3 linked regions of the Rattus norvegicus genome follow. The protein of the gene in region 2 purifies or fractionates together with the protein of the main gene of each other region. This does not show direct contact. Links are inferred from orthologs where the notes say so. Each region holds a gene or a part of one and is shown on either strand. Other genes may lie near its edges.

Region 1 (5,926 bases), on a different chromosome or scaffold from region 2:
CTGCTCTGATTTCACTCAGGAAACGTGCTCAGGGAGAGAAGCCTTTGGCTGGTGCTAAAATAGTGGGCTGTACACACATCACAGCCCAGACAGCGGTGAGTTTTTTGGAAGAAAACAGAGGGACTTCTGATATAAGGGGAAGAAAAAAATGTTTTATTAAAAATAAATATGCCATCCCAGGTGGTGGTGGCAAAGAAGCAAACGGATCTCAGTGAGTTCCAACCTGGTCTACAGAGTGAGTTCAAGTATAGCCAGGGCTACATAGAGAAACCCTGTCTTGAAAAACCATAGACAGATAGAACCAACATGCCTTTCCTTCCTACCTAGCTGACTTAGGAGGATGTAAAATGATTGTTATAAAAACGTTTGAGACTTGTAGGAACATGTCTTACAGGCATAGTTAAGTAACTGCCACACAATAGACTTGTACCTTTATGTACTTCTCCAGTGCAGGGTCAGCTCTGATGTTACAGATACTGTCCTCTTGTAATATTTGTCCCTTGGTCCTGAGTAGCCCCACTTTTCCTCACACATCTTTCTGTACATCCATAGGTATTGATTGAGACACTTTGTGCCCTGGGGGCTCAGTGCCGCTGGTCTGCCTGCAACATCTATTCAACTCAGAATGAGGTAGCTGCAGCACTGGCTGAGGCTGGTAAGTTCCATTTTACCAACTTTACAACAAAATTGTCATTATACCATACACACACACACACACACACACACACACACACACACACACACACACATATATATATACTATAAATTTGGGCAGTCTTAAAACAACAGAGCCTGAATATCAAGCTTAGTGCTGAAGTATTTCCCTGGTATGCAGCGCAGCAGTGAATTTGATCCCCATTGTCATGGGGGGGGGGGGGGTGAAGAGAACAGGAAAAGTTCTACTAAAGCCAAGGTACACTTTAAAACAGAAACAAAATCAAACAGCACCTAAGGAAATACTCGATTCTAGTGTTGAGTGGATGAAGGAGGAATAGTAAATGTGAGCTCAGCGGTCTCTTCTCCCCAAAAGTTTTACCAACTTTGACAGAACACTGTGAGTGGTCTCTTTTATATTGATGGTTAATGGATTATTTGGTGTTTTGTAGTATACTAAAACATATGTGCTATATAAGTTTTAATTAAAATTAATTTTTATTGTCAAAATGTTCAAATATACATCACCTTGAAGTTGGTCTGAGGACCTTCCACCTTCTAGGATTTTCTAATAATTGTTTGTTGTAGAAGATTTAAGAAATTTTTTTTTTAAAAATTGACAAACTTTTCTTTATACATTACATTGGTAAAACAAACCTTAGTAGGTACACATTTTTTATAACCAAAACATTACATTTTCAGAAGTAATTTCTCATATCACTGACAGGTGACTGCATCATTCATTCCTAGGCCACATGGTTTTACTTCATTTTCCTAGAATTGCATATTTAAATTATTCTGAGGCATCTGTTGCTGTTCAGTGCTCTTGAAGCAGCTTTGTTTTGCACACTTCACTTTGCCTCCTTAAGATGCAGTATAAAGAGTAAAATTGACCTAAAGACAATAATATTTTATGACTCCAAAATATTTTTAAAACAGAAATCTCTTAATTTCTTAAGTACAGTAATTTCTGAACTAAAAAGTACCATTTTGACTTTTTAAGTTTTCCCTCTCTGAATTTTTCTTTTCCCTTTCATTCTTCATGTGGATCTCAGAGCTGGTATTGATGTGCACATCAGAAGCAGCATTAACTAATTTATTTCTGTCTCCATAGGAGTTGCAGTGTTTGCTTGGAAGGGCGAGTCAGAAGATGATTTCTGGTGGTGCATTGACCGCTGTGTCAACATGGATGGGTGGCAGGCTAACATGGTAATCATTCATGTCCACCCCATATTTTTTACTATGGATTTATTTCCTTTTCTCCTTTAAAGCATGGTTCCCTAAATATATTTTTGTGTGTTTGGTCTTATTTACTGACTATATTGCTAAAGTGTTCATAACACAATACCTACTCGGTATGGATCTAAGATGCACAAGTCCCTGGGTTCAATCTCCAGCACCAAAAAGAAAGAAAGGAAAGGAAGGAAGGAAAGAAAGAAATGGAAAAAAGCTCTGCGAAGTGAATAGAAAGGTGGGGGAAGGGTAAGCTGAGGTGGACACAGGGCTCAAACACAGCAGAATAAACAGAAGGAAATGATGTGGTTGGTCCCTCTTTGGAGTAGGAGTCTTATTTCTTTCCTTCCTGCTCCACTTCTCCTTTTGCATTCAGAGGAGCTGTATATGTCAGCTAGACTGAAAATGAGCCCATGATTTGTAACACTTATTTACTGTAGCTGAGCATGGCGCTTGCCTGTATTCCCAGCATTTGAGAGGCTGAAGCAGGAATCCTCGAGCTCAGGAATTTTAGAGTAGCCTGAGCAACAAGCAAGATCCAGTCTCAAAAGAGAACTTTCCGTTGTAGCCTAGAACTCATTGAGGAATTCTCTTAATCACTTTACACCAACAGATTTAACTATATTTCCACTGTCTAAGCCTATTCTGCTGAGCGTTAAGACGTGCTCTTCCAAAATATCCAGGGCTCTCTCACTAGTGTAGAAAATGGGCTCAAAGTTCCCCCTAGCTCTAGCAGCCTGAATGCCCATAGAAGTCTTCTGGCTGTTCTGTAGATCCTGGATGATGGGGGAGACTTAACCCACTGGGTTTATAAGAAGTATCCAAACGTGTTTAAGAAGATCCGAGGCATTGTGGAAGAGAGCGTGACTGGTGTTCACAGGTAACAGATTCTGGAGTAGCTGCCCCTTGTGTCCTTGCCTCATCAAATTCTTCTGGTCTCTCCTAGACTTTAGGGCTGTGTTTCAGACTTTAAATAACTAAGTGGGAGTGTCTTCATTAGATAAAACTGAGTTTTTACTTTTGCAAAATCAAAATGACCATAGAAGGAATTTTGAAGGAAGTTTTTCAAATTCTAATTCACATGCTTTTATCTCTCCCATTTACTCCACTGAGTAATTAACAATTATTTGGGAGTAGGGGCGTAGGGAGGAGTGTGTCTTGTAAAACTTGTGCTCAATGTTGTATTATAATTTTTATATTTTAAATATGGAAGGAAAAGTATTTTTTAAAAAAAAAAAGCTATATGTGATGCAACAAAAAGTAAAACTGGAGATATACTCTTGGCTTGGTGGAAATAACTAAATGGTATCTAGGAGCACTGCTCTACCGGGGCACAGTGTACGTGATTGCTCTCACAGACACAGTGAATCACATCAAAACACTTGTCATCTTTGTTGACCTGAAGTAAACAGGAGTACTGAAAGTTAGAACAATGCTGGCCTAAGGTTATAATGTTCCATTTGTGGAAGAGCAGTAAATTACTTCAACTGAAAATTTTTTACTTTTCTTCCCCAAAAGTAAAGGATAAAGGTAGAAGGAAATGAGTTGAGGAGAGATGACAAGAAAATAGTCATGTTTCCGAAGAATTTCTGGGCATAAATAAGAATAAGGAGGGCAGCATGACTTGAAGAGACAGAAGCAGACTGCTGTTTACTGTTTGTCACTAACTGGTTGTGTGTTTGTTTTGTGGCTTCTTCTCCCTTTTAGGCTGTATCAGCTCTCCAAAGCTGGGAAGCTCTGTGTTCCAGCCATGAATGTCAATGATTCTGTTACCAAACAGAAGTTTGATAACTTGTACTGCTGCCGAGAATCCATTTTGGATGGGTATGTTGAAATGTATACATTCAGACTTGCAGGGATTGGTGGTATTTGTTTGACATGTTAGTCTGATACCTGTAGCTTGCCCCTGTAGTCTCCCACCTTTACATGTAACTAAAGGGGCCCACTTCACACTGATCTCAGCCAGCTTTCAAATGAATTTCTCCTGGGCGTTGCCCTACACTTGAGTTTGGTACAAAGGGACCAAGTTGTAAATGATGTTTGAGATGAGTCCTTGTCTGTTTCCACAGCCTGAAGAGGACCACAGATGTGATGTTTGGTGGGAAACAGGTGGTGGTGTGTGGCTATGGTGAGGTAAATAGTTGGGCCCCCGTGTCTCTGTCTATTCTTATTAGAAGGGCTTTAGAGAAACACTGGAGGAAGGAGACAATCTACAAACACTGACACATGGTTTTCCATACTGTGCTTGAAAATAGTGGCAGAAGTCCTTCTTTTCATATTCATGAATTAAAGGCAGAGTGTATTGAACTTCCATATTTTAGCACTTTATCTTATTGATTAATGTCAACATTACTGTCTCCCACTTATAACCTTTTATGAAATAAAATTCAAGCGGATAAGTAGCATTTTTATCCCCATCTTATGACTTGCATTATAATGGAGAAACCGAAGTGGCATTATAGTTGAATGTCTCTAAAGTGGACTAGGTCCTAGGAAGTTTCATCGTCTTCAGCAGTGGTTCACTGAAGTTCTTGGGCTGCTGGGTATTGAGTAGACACATTGGAAGAAAGTTTTACCAGGTTTTTATGGAGTAAATCAGTTGTTCTTGTTTGGTCTTATTTTCATATTTCCCCAACTCTTGCTGTGACTTGTCTGCTAAATTATCTCTAATTGAGGTTTACAGCCTAGATTGGGTTTCTTTCTGCTCCAGCTGGGGTTGGAATGTTCCCTGGATGATGACTGATTTAAAGAAGACTAATTCCTATCTCCTCAAAAGCTTGTCTGCCCTGGTGATCATGTCTTACTAGACCTGGCAACTTGGGCTTTCCTATATTCTGCAGGTAGGAAAGGGCTGCTGTGCTGCTCTCAAGGCCCTTGGAGCAATTGTCTACATCACAGAAATTGACCCCATCTGTGCTCTGCAGGCCTGGTAAGGGTGGGGTGCTGTAACACTGTCAGGTTTGCTGTTCGTGTTTTGTATTTCTGCAAGCTGGTGATTCATTTACTTCACTGTTTTCGTAGAAATCTCCCAGGGAAAGAGAGTAAGATGCTTTGTTCCCTTCACTCTAAGCCTTTTATGGGGCCTCTTGGCATTTTCTCCTGTGTAGACTCTGGGGCTCCACAGCAGCCAGTCTGTAGCTCCCTGTAGCTCATCATTTGCCATTGCTGGGATGGAACATTGGCTTTTACTTCAGAAGGGGATTTTGTTGTCTAATTTTGTGGCCATTTCAGAACATTTTGTCAACATGAGACACACGTGTGCTTTGCTTATTGTGTTGCTGTCTTTTCTTCCAGCATGGATGGGTTCCGGGTGGTGAAGCTGAATGAAGTCATCCGGCAGGTGGACGTTGTAATAACTTGCACAGGTGAGTATCGGTGCCTTGGTGCATGGAGAGCAGTGCTAACTCTCAGGCTAAATCTCAAAAGTGACCCAGAAGGTAAGACCTGTGCTCAGTGTGAAGTGTCAGAGTGAGTTCTCAGAACTTTTAGCATTTTCCAAAGGCGCTTTTTTACCATGGCGATTTTTTTCAGATTACTTGGTCTTAAAGCCAAATAATTGAGCTCAAGCATTTTGTGTGCACATCTCTCTCAAAATGTGCACAAGCTCCTTAGTGGTTAGCAGACACCTCCCAGGCTCCAGCTGGAAACAGTTGGCATTCTTGTTGCCCAGCTTCTCCTTCTTCAGCCACTCTTCTTTACTTTTAGGAAATAAGAATGTAGTGACCCGGGAGCACTTGGACCGAATGAAAAATAGTTGCATTGTATGTAATATGGGCCATTCCAACACAGAAATTGATGTGGTAAGGTTTCTCTCCATTACAGTTAGGCCTTCCTCTGCATTTATTTCACTCAAGCCACAACCAGCTGTCTGTTCTTCCTTCCAGACCAGCCTCCGCACTCCAGAGCTAACATGGGAGCGCGTACGTTCTCAGGTGGACCATGTCATCTGGCCTGATGGCAAGCGGGTCGTCCTTCTAGCAGAGGTAACGCACACCTCCGACTGCAGGCCTCTATGCTAGGGCACAGAAGAAGGGCAGGG
Region 2 (6,026 bases):
GCTGCTCAGGGCATGTGTGTGGCAACAGGGGCAAGAGCAGCAAGGCCTGGAGCAGGGCTGGAAGACGGGGTGTGGCGGTGGCCGGCTCACTGGAAGTGCAGAGAGCCTCCAGTCCAGGGACTACATCTCAATGGGCAGGGGGACTGGAAGGGGAAGTCTCAGGGACACTGTGGAGAGAAGGCTCCCGGTACATGGCCACTGTGAAGGGGAGAGAGAGAGCAGCAAGGAAGGAGAATTAGGCACACAGAGAGCCAGGAAGAATCCTAGCTCTGAGAGGCCTCCCTTCTCTTACACTCACCCTTGGAGAACCCCAACCCCCGCCAAAGGCTAAAGCCTTCCCGCTTGGCCCGCCATAACAACATGCCGTTGAACATTTATGGGCATCTATGTCACTAAGTATTCATGTCAAGGTCAATACCTCCCACATGACCCACCTTTTCTTGAGCCCATACCCACCCTCCAGGAGCTTGGGCACAAAGTGGGCAGCTGCCTTGGTCTTCTTGACTCGGTTTCCCTTCATGACCCGGCCTTCCTTGTCCAGGCCTAGGTACCAGGCCCGGCCAGAACGACGCTGGCGGTAGAGAGCAGAGGCATACAGGACATAGTAATTCTCAAAGACGCACTCCTTAAAGCGACACTCTGCTGTGAAATGCGGCTGAGAAGACAAAGATCCAGAAAGAGGCGTGGAGACACACACGGACACACGGACACACGGACAAACACACAGAGAGAGAGAGAGAGAGAGAGAGAGAGAGAGAGAGATCACTGGCAGAATGGAGCCCTTGGGAAGAAGCAGCCAGGATATAATCCATACATTGTTTGGAAAGGAGGACGGCAGCTACTGAGTCCACACAGAAACCAGAGCACAAGCACAGGGAGAATAGGAAGAACCTGGTGGATCACCCAGGGGCGGGAACTAGATCTTTAGGGGCACTAGAAATAAGATCGCTTCTCTTCATTCCCAACCTCTTACTTATCTAGAGGAAAGATGAGGCTTAAAGGCTGAGAAATGTCTCCCTAATAGCAGAAAGAATCGAGCATCCAAAGAGCCTGGGGTACTTGAGGGTGAGCATTGCGAGTGGAGATGGGTAAACTCTAGAGGAGGAGTTCTGGACCAGGCCCTCATCAGCCCAGAGTCCTGGGTGTAAGTCCTGTGTGTACAAAGGGTGGTTCTCTGCTGAGGGTGTCCCCCATACTCCAGGCCACTCAGCCTGGTCGTCTTACCGAGCTGTACAATAGCCCCTCAGCATTCATGGCCATGTAGTGACCCAGCTTGGCACTCTGGATGGTGACCACACGAAGCCCCACGGGAATCAGATTGAAGTGGGCTGGGGGAGTAGAAAGCCAGCATCAGTACCCAGGTACCTGGCTTCCATCTGAGTTCCCCCCCCCCGCCCCGCCCCCGACTCCAGCCCCACCGCCTCCCTGGGGGCTCAGGAAGACAAACAGAAGGTGGCAAAGCCTGAGGAGGTGATAGGATTGTCATCTCCTGTCTCCATCTCCCCACTTCCCACCCTGCAGCTGGTGTCCCTTCTCACTGAAGGAGCTGGTGTCCTCTGGGGTGCCCTGGATGCTCCCATCTGGATTCGCCTGGAGGTAGAAACCCTGGCGGCAGAACAGTTTGGTGACGATGCCTTTGAGCTGAGGCTCTGGAGAGAGAGACATTTATCTTTGAAAATGACATCTCTGTTCCCAGAAACATTCCTACACTTGGCGGGATCACAGGAGAGAAGGAAGGGGGAATGAAGAGGGTTCCAGGGCCCCAGCTCCCTTACCCTCCACGCCAGCTTCCTTCCACCTCTCTGTGATTCCTGAGGAAGCTGGGGTGTGGGTCCCTTCCGCTTTCTCTAATCATGAGCGTCAGCTTAATTTATTGAAATTTATTTAAATGGTTTAATTCCTCTCCCTACCAGAGTTGGGGGAGGGGGCAGGGAGGCGGTAGAAGAGAGAGACAAAGGCAACGGACAGTGCCAGAGACGCAGGGCAATGTGTTTGCAAATGTCGGGGTGAGCAGCAAGGTGACCACAGGGAAGGGGCTCCCCCTTAGAAGTAGGGGTGGGACTGGGCTTGACTGACGCTGACTCAGCACCTGCTGCTGCAGCTGCCGCTCGCTTGGCGCGGGCCTTGCTCTGGCACAGCGCCGGCCTGTCTGACACTGACCCATCTGTCTGTCTGTCTGTCAGTCAGTCGGCTGGCTCATGAAGGTCCAGTTTTTCCTGAGACTGAGCCTCTACCCTTCAGCCAGGTAACTGGCCGGGGATAGGGGACATTTAAACCACATCAAGGAAAAGGAAGAGGGGACAGAGATGGAGAAGCAGGCTGCATCACGTGGGGGCTGGGTCCCACTCAGAGGGTGGGCTGCGGACTGTACCACTACCTATTGTTGGTGATGGGGGAGGAGGGCGCAAGGGGCTACCCCTAAGGGAACCGGCAGCGGCCTGGAGCGAGGCCAGAGGGACTCCCTAACTGTCGTACCTGGACGGGAATCACATACCAACCCTTACATCTCTCCCTTCCCTTGGCTTGATCTCTGCCGCTTTCCCTCTTCCCCCTTGTAAGTGGTACGACCCCCCTCCTAAGTCCTGTGCTGGTCTTCAGCCCGAACTGTGTGTGAATTCCTACTGGTAGAGGGTCCCCGGAGGCTGTAGGACCGGATTTCCGAGTCACACAGGAGTAATGGGAGGGGGTGCCCAGCACCCTTCTTGAAGCGCAGGTCACAGAAGGAGGGCGTATGGAGGGGGCTGGCTGACGAGGTAGCTGCAAGGACACCCGGGGGAGAGCTGGAGAGATTGGCTCCTGGCCAGGCGAGCTGGACCAGGAGGAACAGAGCCAAAGCGTGGAGGGGCGGGAGAACCGGAGCGGGGGCGGGGCAGCCAGGGCTGCAGAAACCCTCGGGGTGACCCAAGCGTCCAGAACCCCTCAAGCCCCGCCACTTCGGATGGAAAGAATCGCGAGAACCCGCACGTAGGCGAAGAACCGTGGGGGTGGGGAGTCCTGTGTTGAAGGGGGGCCGACAGGAGCTGAAAAGCTTGGGGCGCGACTTCGCCCCTCAAACCTTCCCCCTGCCCTCGAAAGCAAGGAGATTCGGCATTACAGGCAAAGAGGAAGAAAACTGAAGGATAGTCCCGTACATTTTGTCGTTCTGGCCCACCTCTTCCACTTCTGGGACACCCCCCTCCTCATCGGGTTTCATTCTCCAGGGCCCCTGGGCTCAGGCAGGACTTCAGTCCGGGAGACCCCGCCCTAGCCACACTCACCTGGGCCGCGGTCCTGTCGCGTGGGCCGCCCCCCGCACAGTCGCACCTTGGACAGCAGGATGAGGAGCTGCTTCTGGCAAAGTGACTTGGTACCGCGGGGACACACGCGCCGCTGCGCGGACACCGGCCGGCTGCCCCCGGGCTCGCGGACCTCCCGCTTCTGTCGGATCAGGCTACTGGCCAACGCCGCCATCGCTCCCCGGGAGGAGACACCCCCAAACCAGCAGGCTCCCGGAGCTCCCTGGGCTCCCCAAGAGGAGCCCTCTCACCAGGGCATGCTCAGGACCCAACCCACCGCCCCACCCACAGGATCTGAAGATAAACCCCAGACCCCCGTATTCCCCCCCACACCACCAGCTCCCACCCTTGGGCCCTGACTAGCTCCAGCGGCTCCAGCAGCCTATGCACTCCTCAGCTGACCTCACCCATGAATTTTGTCCCCTAATGAAAGCTTTCCCCTTCCCTCCTTTCTGGCCTCTGTACCAGATAGAGGGTACCTCCTCTATCCCGAAGTCAAGACCCTCCTATTTCTAAGATGTGTTCCCAACACCCTAAGGCTTCTTTCTACCCTATTTAGGGGCCGCTCTTGCCCAGCCTACTCTCATAAAGGGTGTAAGTCCTAAGCTTTGTGGGCATTAGCTCACGCTAGGCTGCTGTCAATGTCAAGAGGAGCCCAGCTCTGTTTTTTCCTTTGCTATACTCTAAATGGAGTGGATCTCCCACTTTCTTCAAATCCCCCCGCCCCCAGCAAATATGACTCAATATCCAGGCTGTCTAGGTTCAGTGAGAAAGGGTTCCCAGACCCTCTGGCTGGAAAATGCTTTTTTTCACTGTCACCCCCATTTCTAGTACCACAGAGTTTCAGCTGCTGAGACCATTTCCTCACCTTGCTACCCTCCACTCCTTTTGAAGTCACCTCCAAATCAGCCCTTTCTAGTGCATACACCAGGTGGTTGTCTGGAGGACCCTCTGTCGCCCCCCCAAAAGGAGCATCAGTCGTTTGTTTGTTTTCTAGATGCCCCTTAAATTTCCCGAGGAACAACTGGCACTGCTTAGATCCCACACCCTCCAATCTAACAAGGCCCCCCAGAGAGGAGTGCACCCACGTTGTCAACACTCCTCAAACGTGAACAGGCCCTTAATAAGTCATAGCGCATCAGAGCTCCCTGCGCCAGGGCTTTCTCGTCTTCCCTGGGACTGCTATAACACCCCTTCCTTTCCCCGACGCCCCTCAACCTGTCCTGTCCTGTTGATCCGGGCGACCGGTGCCGCGAGCTCCGGCTCCAGGCTCCTCCCTCCCTGTCACCCGCAAGCGGAGGTTTCCCCCCAACGTCGGCCTAAGCGTCCCGGACCCCTAGGAAGGAGTGAGGATGTCTCTGCAGAGCGCCTCGGTTCGGCAAAGTCAGAGCACTGGGCCTGGAGGTTGGACCAGGCAGAGCGGCGGAGGCAGCGGCAGCGGCTGTGGGAAGCTGAGGCGGCGGCGGCGACAGAGGCTCCCCCTCCTCTGCGAGCCGGCCCGGGGGCGGGGCAGGGGGCGGAGACGCTGGGAGAAGCTGGGCGGGCGGAACCCTGGGGTTCCTTGGAAGCTGTAAGTGGGGACTGTCACAGAGGCAGGCGGAATAGAGGCAAGGCCTGCAAGTCTCGGGGTTCAGAGGAAACGAGACATAGAGCCTGATATGGCGGGGCTGGGAGCAAGGGTAGATGGAATAGCCGATAGAAAGAAAATGAAAAGGGACTCTACTTCCTGGGATGGAAGTGAGGACAGAAATGGATGAGGAGAGTTGTGGGGAAAGTGGAGAAACGGGTGGCTGTGCCATCCAGTCTGGGCTGTGATCCGGCCTTAATATCTCTCTGCTTTGTTATGAGCCAAATTGATCAGAACCAGGTTTCCAAAAACCAGTTTCTTCCCGCATTTTGTCAGTAAACACATTCTTCCTGTTCCCTGTAGACTCTGAAAGAATCAGGGAGGGAGAGAGGTTCTGGGAGGCAGTACTGGGATAGAAGGGGCACTAGCCAGACTTAGAGAACTTGGGCCTCAGGCAAGGCAGAATACTGGAGAAACCCTTTAGAAAAGAGACTTTGGACCCAACCACACACTGTATGCGAGGGGCAGCAGTCTCCTTCCTCCATGACCCTCTCCAGCCAAAGGAAACACTTTCCATTCCCTTAGGAGTAGAATCTTTAATGGGTCCCGCCCCCTACGCCCGCTAAACCGCCCCCTTTGCGGGCAACCTTGGCTTCCTCCACGGCCTCACGCAAGGCCTGTGCAGGGTCCCCGCGAAGCTGGGCCAATGCCCCGCGCAGAGCAGCAGAGCCGTCTCCCATACGGAGCTTTCGGCCGCTCAAAAAATAATGAGGCAGCGTCCCGGCCTCTAGCACTCGGCTCAGCTCATCCAGTAGCCCAAGGCAACAAGCGCCGGCATTTTCCGGCCGCGCCAGGTAGAGCGCCGGGAGCCGCTCGCAAGCCCAGTAGAGCAAGGTCCGCAGGAGGTAGGGCGCAGCGGCTCGGGTCCCCGCCACCAGCGGGCGCAGCAGCGCCTGGGCCGCCGCGTGTGCCTGAAGCAGCGGCGTGGGGATGCGCGCTTTGAGCGCCAGCTCCTGGCGGGCGAAGCACAACTGCCATCCAGAGGTGCCCTGCTGCTCCGGGAGGCTGCCCGGCACTAGGTAGAAAGAGGACGATTCAGAGACCAGTGGACCCGCCCACGAGTGGCTCCGAGCCGCGTCGGGCCAGCCTGTCACGGTCACCACCGGGATCAGGTCGAAGAGCAG
Region 3 (5,926 bases), about 47 Mb from region 2:
GGAATAGTCTCTTCAAATAGCTGCTCGGAGCCCAGCCCGACACAAACCAATCAATCATTAGGGTTAAAGTTAGGCATGGATAAGTAGATTGCCAGAAGTAGACTTTCAAGGTCTGCAGCACCACATACAGATATACTGTGGCCACCCACCCAGTAGAGTCAGGGCCACTCCAGTCTGCACAAGCAGTGCAAGTGGAGGGATCAGTAACTACCCCAGGACTACGCCTAGGCTGCTCCAATGCTTGAATCTCATTTAGGTCACCAGGGTTTGGGTACTGGGGGGCAGGCCGGAGGGCAGCAGTGTAGTCCTAGGACCTGGAGCTTACAATTCTACCCCTCACCCCACCAGTTATGTCCTTACCTCCTCCACTACCACACGGAACTTGCTCTTGGTGCTGAGCACAGGCTTGACCCCTGAGAGCCACTGGACACTGGAGAAGATCTTGGCTGGGCCAATAAGTACTTGGCCTGGGTAGAAGCCATAGGAGTCATCAAAGAAGAGACCCTGCAGGATTCGAGGGCAGAGGAAAGTGCACAGTAGTCAGCTGTAGTGTGACTTACCTTGTGTCCCTGGCACATTAATGGATGCCTGGTTGCTAGTAAACTGGCTGTTTAAGGATCTCTAGCTGTTAAGACTGTTTGGGGTTGGGGATTTAGCTCAGTGGTAGAGCGCTTGCCTAGGAAGCGCAAGGCCCTGGGTTCAATCCCCAGCTCCGAAAAAAAGAACCAAAAAAAAAAAAAAAAAAAAAGACTGTTTAACACTAGGCCTTCAGTGTTGGTTGCCTCTTGGATTTCTGGAAACGGGATAGGTGGATAGGTTTACAAAAGCCAGGCAAGGCAGAGAAAAAGGGTGAGGGGTTGGCAGAGTGAGAGAAGCCAGTTGGTGCAGAAGACATGGTTAGGAGACAGATGAGTCATGAGCAGATAGGCTACAATGGTTGTTATAGTTTGGAGCTGATAGTGTTGGGAACACTGGGAGAAAGGACTGTTTAAGCAGAAACATTTGAAGTGGCTGGGCTGGAAACTGGGAGGAGGGCTAGCAGGGAGTTAAGGAACTGGTTACTGTTTTTCTTTTTCTTTTTTCTTTTTTTCGGAGCTGGGGACCGAACCCAAGGCCTTGCGCTTGCTAGGCAAGCACTCTGCCACTGAGCTAAATCCCCACCCCTGGTTACTGTTCTTAAAAGCCATCTTACATTAGCCCTCCTTGGCTAGTCGCATGACATGGCATCTAGGATGGCCGGAGCATAGTCTACAGAGAATATATTTCCCAAGCCTGGTGCAAACCAGGTGCTAGTAATCATATTAAAATGCACTGCAGACTGTTCCAGGCCTTAACAGGCTCTCAGGCAACGCAGGGCTGGTGGTCAGGGTCACACACTCAGAAGCAAAGCCCTAGAGAGCAATAGCACACACTTGTTTAATACGACGTCTCTAGTACGAACTACGTCCGTGTGTTACTGTGCTGTATTCCTGCTGGACAAAGTGACTGTGTGCTGAAGGGTGAGAGACAAGGCTGACAGTGTGGTGTCACACCGGCAATCCTAGCACTCAGGAGCTGAGAGTTTGTGTTGGAGGCTGGCCCAAGCTATAGAACAAACTGGAAAACAAAACAAGTGGCCCTCGGAGAGATAAAGAGCAGAGGACCCACACACATGACGACTCACAGTCCTCTTCCCCCAGTACCAGGGACCTGACCTTTCTTTGCCTCCACACACGTTCCATGGACATGGTGTGCATTTCCTTTTCTCTGATTTTCTCATAAAATGAATCTTACCCCACCTCATCCCACCTCAGCCAACCACCCAAGTGAGACTAGTAACAAATTAGTGTTTAATGCCCCTACCCAAGCCTCAAGCAGCTCTGGTGCCCTCTTCCCCTGGCCTCACAACCTTGCCCAGCCTCGCACAGTCCTCATGTCTAAGCAGCTGAGGAACAGACATGATGACTCCCTTCTGGCAGAGCAAACGTACCGAGTCGCTGACGTGAGGGCAGACATCGTAGAGTTTGGCACCATCTTCAGTGTTCATGGAGCACCTGAAACAGACAGAGGCTTGGTCTCCACCAGGGCACAGTAAGCACCAAACACCAAGGACCAGAGGCCCTGAGACTAGAGCATCCCCAGAACACGCCATTCATCTTCCACCTACGGCTCAGCCTCTGCCACAGCACAGGAGCACAGCTCCATCTGAGTGCCCGCCACTACTAACACTGCAGAACAGAGATGTCCAAATGAAACACCTCACCAAGCTCAGATACCAAAGCCTGAGCTGTAGAGGGGGTGGACAGGAGTTACCACGGGGATACAGGTGCTGAATGCCAGCACCATCCATTACCGTCTGGGACCACCCCTGACCTCACAGCGCTGGAGACTCAGGCGGCTGTCCCTAAGCTGACACCTACCTGGCCCCATTGGACAGTTTGAGGATGATCTGGTTCTTCAAGTCATAGACCTTCCCCAGCCAGCAGTCATAGGCGATATAGTCTCCATACATGAAGGGCTGCAGATCAAGGACATGGCACTGAGCTAGGACACACACCACAGAGCCGAGAGTCTTCTTGACCCCAGTAGGATGTAAAAGGTTCTGAACGATGTATTAACACTGCATTCCACGTCCCTTCTCCTGAGCAGGCAGAGGAACTGTGGGCTCCTAGCAACGGGAGTGTCCCACAGTGGCAGAGGAACCAGCACGAGGAGGTTGGCATGGTTGGGAGGTGGCTTTGTGGATAGGTAGAGACCATGAATAAAGGTCAATCCACTGAGAACACTGAGCGCAGTGAACTTGCTGTTAAAAAGTGTTCAGCAAACAGAAGCCATCCCAAAGGAGCTTCCTCATTTGGGACAATTGAAGGGAAAAGTGATGAGAGTACTGAATTATAAGCAGTCGAATAAGTGCATACTCATAAAAATGAATGAGCAAAGAAACAGGGCAGTAGGCACAGCCCTTCCACACAGAAGAATGCCAACCAACAGAAACAAGGGAACAATGACTTAAGGAAGACACCACGTGTGACTGTCAGAGGCATGGCCTCTTTAAATGGCAATGTTCCCAAGACTAAGGCTTGCAGATGGTGGACTAACACGGAGTCTGATGTGTGGAACATAATTACTGACTGGGGGGTAAAGGATGACCTCACAGTGGAGAGGACTATGAAGATCAACATGACCTGCATGCAGAGTAAGCACCCCAGCAGTAGAGTAGCACTGGACATTAAAAAAAAGTCTACACATTGGGGCTGGAGAGATGGCTCAGTGGTTAAGAACACTGCCTGCATGGGGCTGGGGATTTAGCTCAGTGGTAGAGCGCTTACCTAGGAAGCGCAAGGCCCTGGGTTCGGTCCCCAGCTCCGGGGGGGGAAAAAAAAAAAAAAAAAAAAAAAAGCACTGCCTGCTCTTCCAAAGGTCCTGAGTTCAATTCCCAACAACCACATGGTGGCTCACAACCATCTGTAATGAGATCTGATGCCCTCTTCTGGTGTGTCTGAGGACAGCTACAGTGCACACATATACATAAAATAAATGCATAGTTCTTTAAAAAAAAAAAAAAATAAAGCCTACACACAGCTGCACAGCACCAAGGCATGCTGGGAGTCTGTCCATGAGGCATTATCACGCACAAGCTTTTGCAGTATCACCGTCCAGGATGTGGAAGGACATCCAGATGGGAAAGAAAAACTGACAGGTAAATGCCAGGTGTGTTCCTGGATAGCCTCAGGGGGAAAGCACAGCCGGGCAATCTGAAGGTCAGGCAGTGTGCATGTGGTGTGACCACGGACTCCTCCGTCTACAGGCTGTATCCGAATTGTGGAAAGTAGAGAATGTAGTGAGCAGGGGCTCTGGGGGCTTTCAGATGGTTCAGGAGGTGAAGATGATGGGGCTCTGTGGGGAGGTCAGCAGATGCACACTGGAGAGGGGGCACACAGACTTAGCCCTTCTGGGTAAGTTGAAAGTCCTTTTCACAAGACAAAGGAATGTTTTGCTGTTGTTCGTATATGTATGAGTACTCTGCTGCATGAGTGTATGTGTGCCACGTGGGTGCCATATTCTCAGAGGTCAAAGGGCAGAGCTGGATCCTCTGGATCTGTGTCTTGCCTATGGGGCCATCCATCTCTTCTTCCTTCTTGGTGCTAAGTGTTGGCTGGAGACGGAGAGATGGCTCAGCAGTTACGAGCACTGTCCTCTCTTGCTGGGGACCTGGCTAACTCCCTCTTCTGGTATCAGCACGCAAGTGGTACACAGACTGTATGCATGCAAAAACGCCCCACACAGCAAACAAGCAAGCAAGCAAAACCGTGTCTGTCTGTGGTAGTGAGAAACAAGTAAAGTCCTGATCTGCACTGAGGCCGCGGCAGAGGGGGCAGACCCTGATGACCTCATGTCCAGTAGCTCACACGCAAGGGCAACACCAAGGCTGCACTTGGCAGGAGCAGCACGGAGACCATACAGCCAAGATAAGTGGCCACCACTCACCCAGATGTGCTGGAGGTCCTTGCTGTTGACAGGGTAAATGATGCAGTTGGTGCCAATGAGCTTGACGGCACAGTCAATGTTGACGTCTATCACCGTGCCACACTGACTGTCCTAGGGGAAGAAGGAAAAATTCACACGGTTGCACTAGGAGACCCCAAACAGACACTCCCTAGTGATCTTCACTCCCCAACAAAGCAGCTCTGCTCCAAACAAGAGTGGGAGCAGACAGACTCAACAGCCCGATGGGATGGGGATGAGGGGCTGACTCACAGTTGAGCGCATGTGCCGGACCACATCCCGGGGCACCACAGAGCGGTCCTCCAGTTTCAGCTGTAAAGAAAACATGAATGAGAGGCCTGGAAACAGCAGACCTGAGGCAGAACGCACTCCACTCAGGTGCATCCCGCCAGGGGCAGACAAGGGAACCTTTTATCTGTATTCAGTCCTTCTCTCAGTGTCTTACCCTCTGACCTTGGCTCATCAGTGCTCAGAAGTGGTTGGAGGACTGGCATGACACTGGGCAGTGGCCAGTCACCATGAAGCCAGCTGTCACTGGACACCACCCTCCTAATCTGGGTTATCCTGCCTGCCCAGCTGCAGCCTGCTCCTTATCTGTGACATTGCACAGCCTGTCCTGACCCAAGTGAACCCCCAGAACTGCCACCTACTGCTGCTGGGTGGCCTCAGCCTCTACAGCCCAGGCAGAGCTGCCTCTCTGCCAGGCTGATTCGTCTTCTCTGTTCTCGAGTCTCCAAATCTGGATTGTTCTGCCATGGAGCAACCCGTGAGTGATTGCTCCAGGACTGGCAAGCACACACCAGGGAGAGCTGCCCTCAAGCTCTACCCAGCTCTCAATAACATCAGCAAAGGCCTCTCTGCTCTCAACTGAGAAAGGTGACTGCAGAGGAACAAGATGGAAACGCTGGGGGGGAGTACAAGGTCACCACAGCTTTGAGGAGGACAACTAAAACACACTCTACAAGTAGGCTATGACTTAGAGGGAAGCAATGAAGCACCACGATAAGTAGGAATGCACAAACTGCCACAGGGACCCAGACCTGTTCCAGATGACAACGTGGTGATCGGTGTTAGCCTACTGCTTCCATGGTACCTCTGCAGCCAGCACTGGGACCCGTGACAGGATTGAAGCCACAAACAGAGCCCAAGTGCATACACATACAGCTCCTACCATCACCCATGGCTGCCTGACTCCTGGCTTCAAGGCACTGGAGGGAATGCAGAGAGGCTGGTGCCCCTTCTAACTGTAAAGACACTTTGTGCCTGCCCTACCTTAACTGCCTCTTAGCTTAGACTTCGAGACACCACCAATCAGGGGCCTAAGTCATCACAGAAAGCAAAGGTGCACATGGGAGGGAAATTCAAAGAGTGAGAGGCTTGAAGAGAGCCATGAGCTGAGTCTGCAGGTCATGCCCCTAGTGGCCTTTGTCAGGTCCAGGCA

The links.
Region 1: the proteins of Fgf11 (region 2) and Ahcyl1 purify together in Homo sapiens (affinity purification with mass spectrometry; 3 studies listed by BioGRID and IntAct, with this or other methods). This does not show direct contact. The link is inferred for Rattus norvegicus from reciprocal best matches to the Homo sapiens genes FGF11 and AHCYL1.
Region 3: the proteins of Fgf11 (region 2) and Ube2o purify together in Homo sapiens (affinity purification with mass spectrometry; 3 studies listed by BioGRID and IntAct, with this or other methods). This does not show direct contact. The link is inferred for Rattus norvegicus from reciprocal best matches to the Homo sapiens genes FGF11 and UBE2O.

What each region holds. Positions count from the first base shown.
Region 1 is NC_086020.1:197,987,751-197,993,676, reverse strand, and holds part of Ahcyl1 (S-adenosylhomocysteine hydrolase-like protein 1), read left to right. Parts: coding exon 1-95; intron 96-552; coding exon 553-655; intron 656-1,768; coding exon 1,769-1,863; intron 1,864-2,660; coding exon 2,661-2,767; intron 2,768-3,594; coding exon 3,595-3,711; intron 3,712-3,956; coding exon 3,957-4,020; intron 4,021-4,727; coding exon 4,728-4,816; intron 4,817-5,181; coding exon 5,182-5,252; intron 5,253-5,592; coding exon 5,593-5,687; intron 5,688-5,771; coding exon 5,772-5,870; intron 5,871-5,926. UniProt on the Homo sapiens protein: Multifaceted cellular regulator which coordinates several essential cellular functions including regulation of epithelial HCO3(-) and fluid secretion, mRNA processing and DNA replication.
Region 2 is NC_086028.1:55,017,207-55,023,232, forward strand, and holds the start of Fgf11 (fibroblast growth factor 11), read right to left. Parts: upstream 3,568-6,026; 5' UTR 3,451-3,567; coding exon 3,258-3,450; intron 1,650-3,257; coding exon 1,539-1,649; intron 1,329-1,538; coding exon 1,225-1,328; intron 656-1,224; coding exon 435-655; intron 199-434; coding exon 159-198; coding exon of another isoform or gene 128-158; 3' UTR 1-127. Other genes in the region: Tmem102 (transmembrane protein 102), read right to left, coding at 5,439-6,026.
Region 3 is NC_086028.1:102,272,331-102,278,256, forward strand, and holds part of Ube2o (ubiquitin-conjugating enzyme E2 O), read right to left. Parts: intron 4,798-5,926; coding exon 4,738-4,797; intron 4,579-4,737; coding exon 4,468-4,578; intron 2,498-4,467; coding exon 2,400-2,497; intron 2,034-2,399; coding exon 1,970-2,033; intron 505-1,969; coding exon 361-504; intron 1-360. UniProt on the Homo sapiens protein: E2/E3 hybrid ubiquitin-protein ligase that displays both E2 and E3 ligase activities and mediates monoubiquitination of target proteins. Negatively regulates TRAF6-mediated NF-kappa-B activation independently of its E2 activity.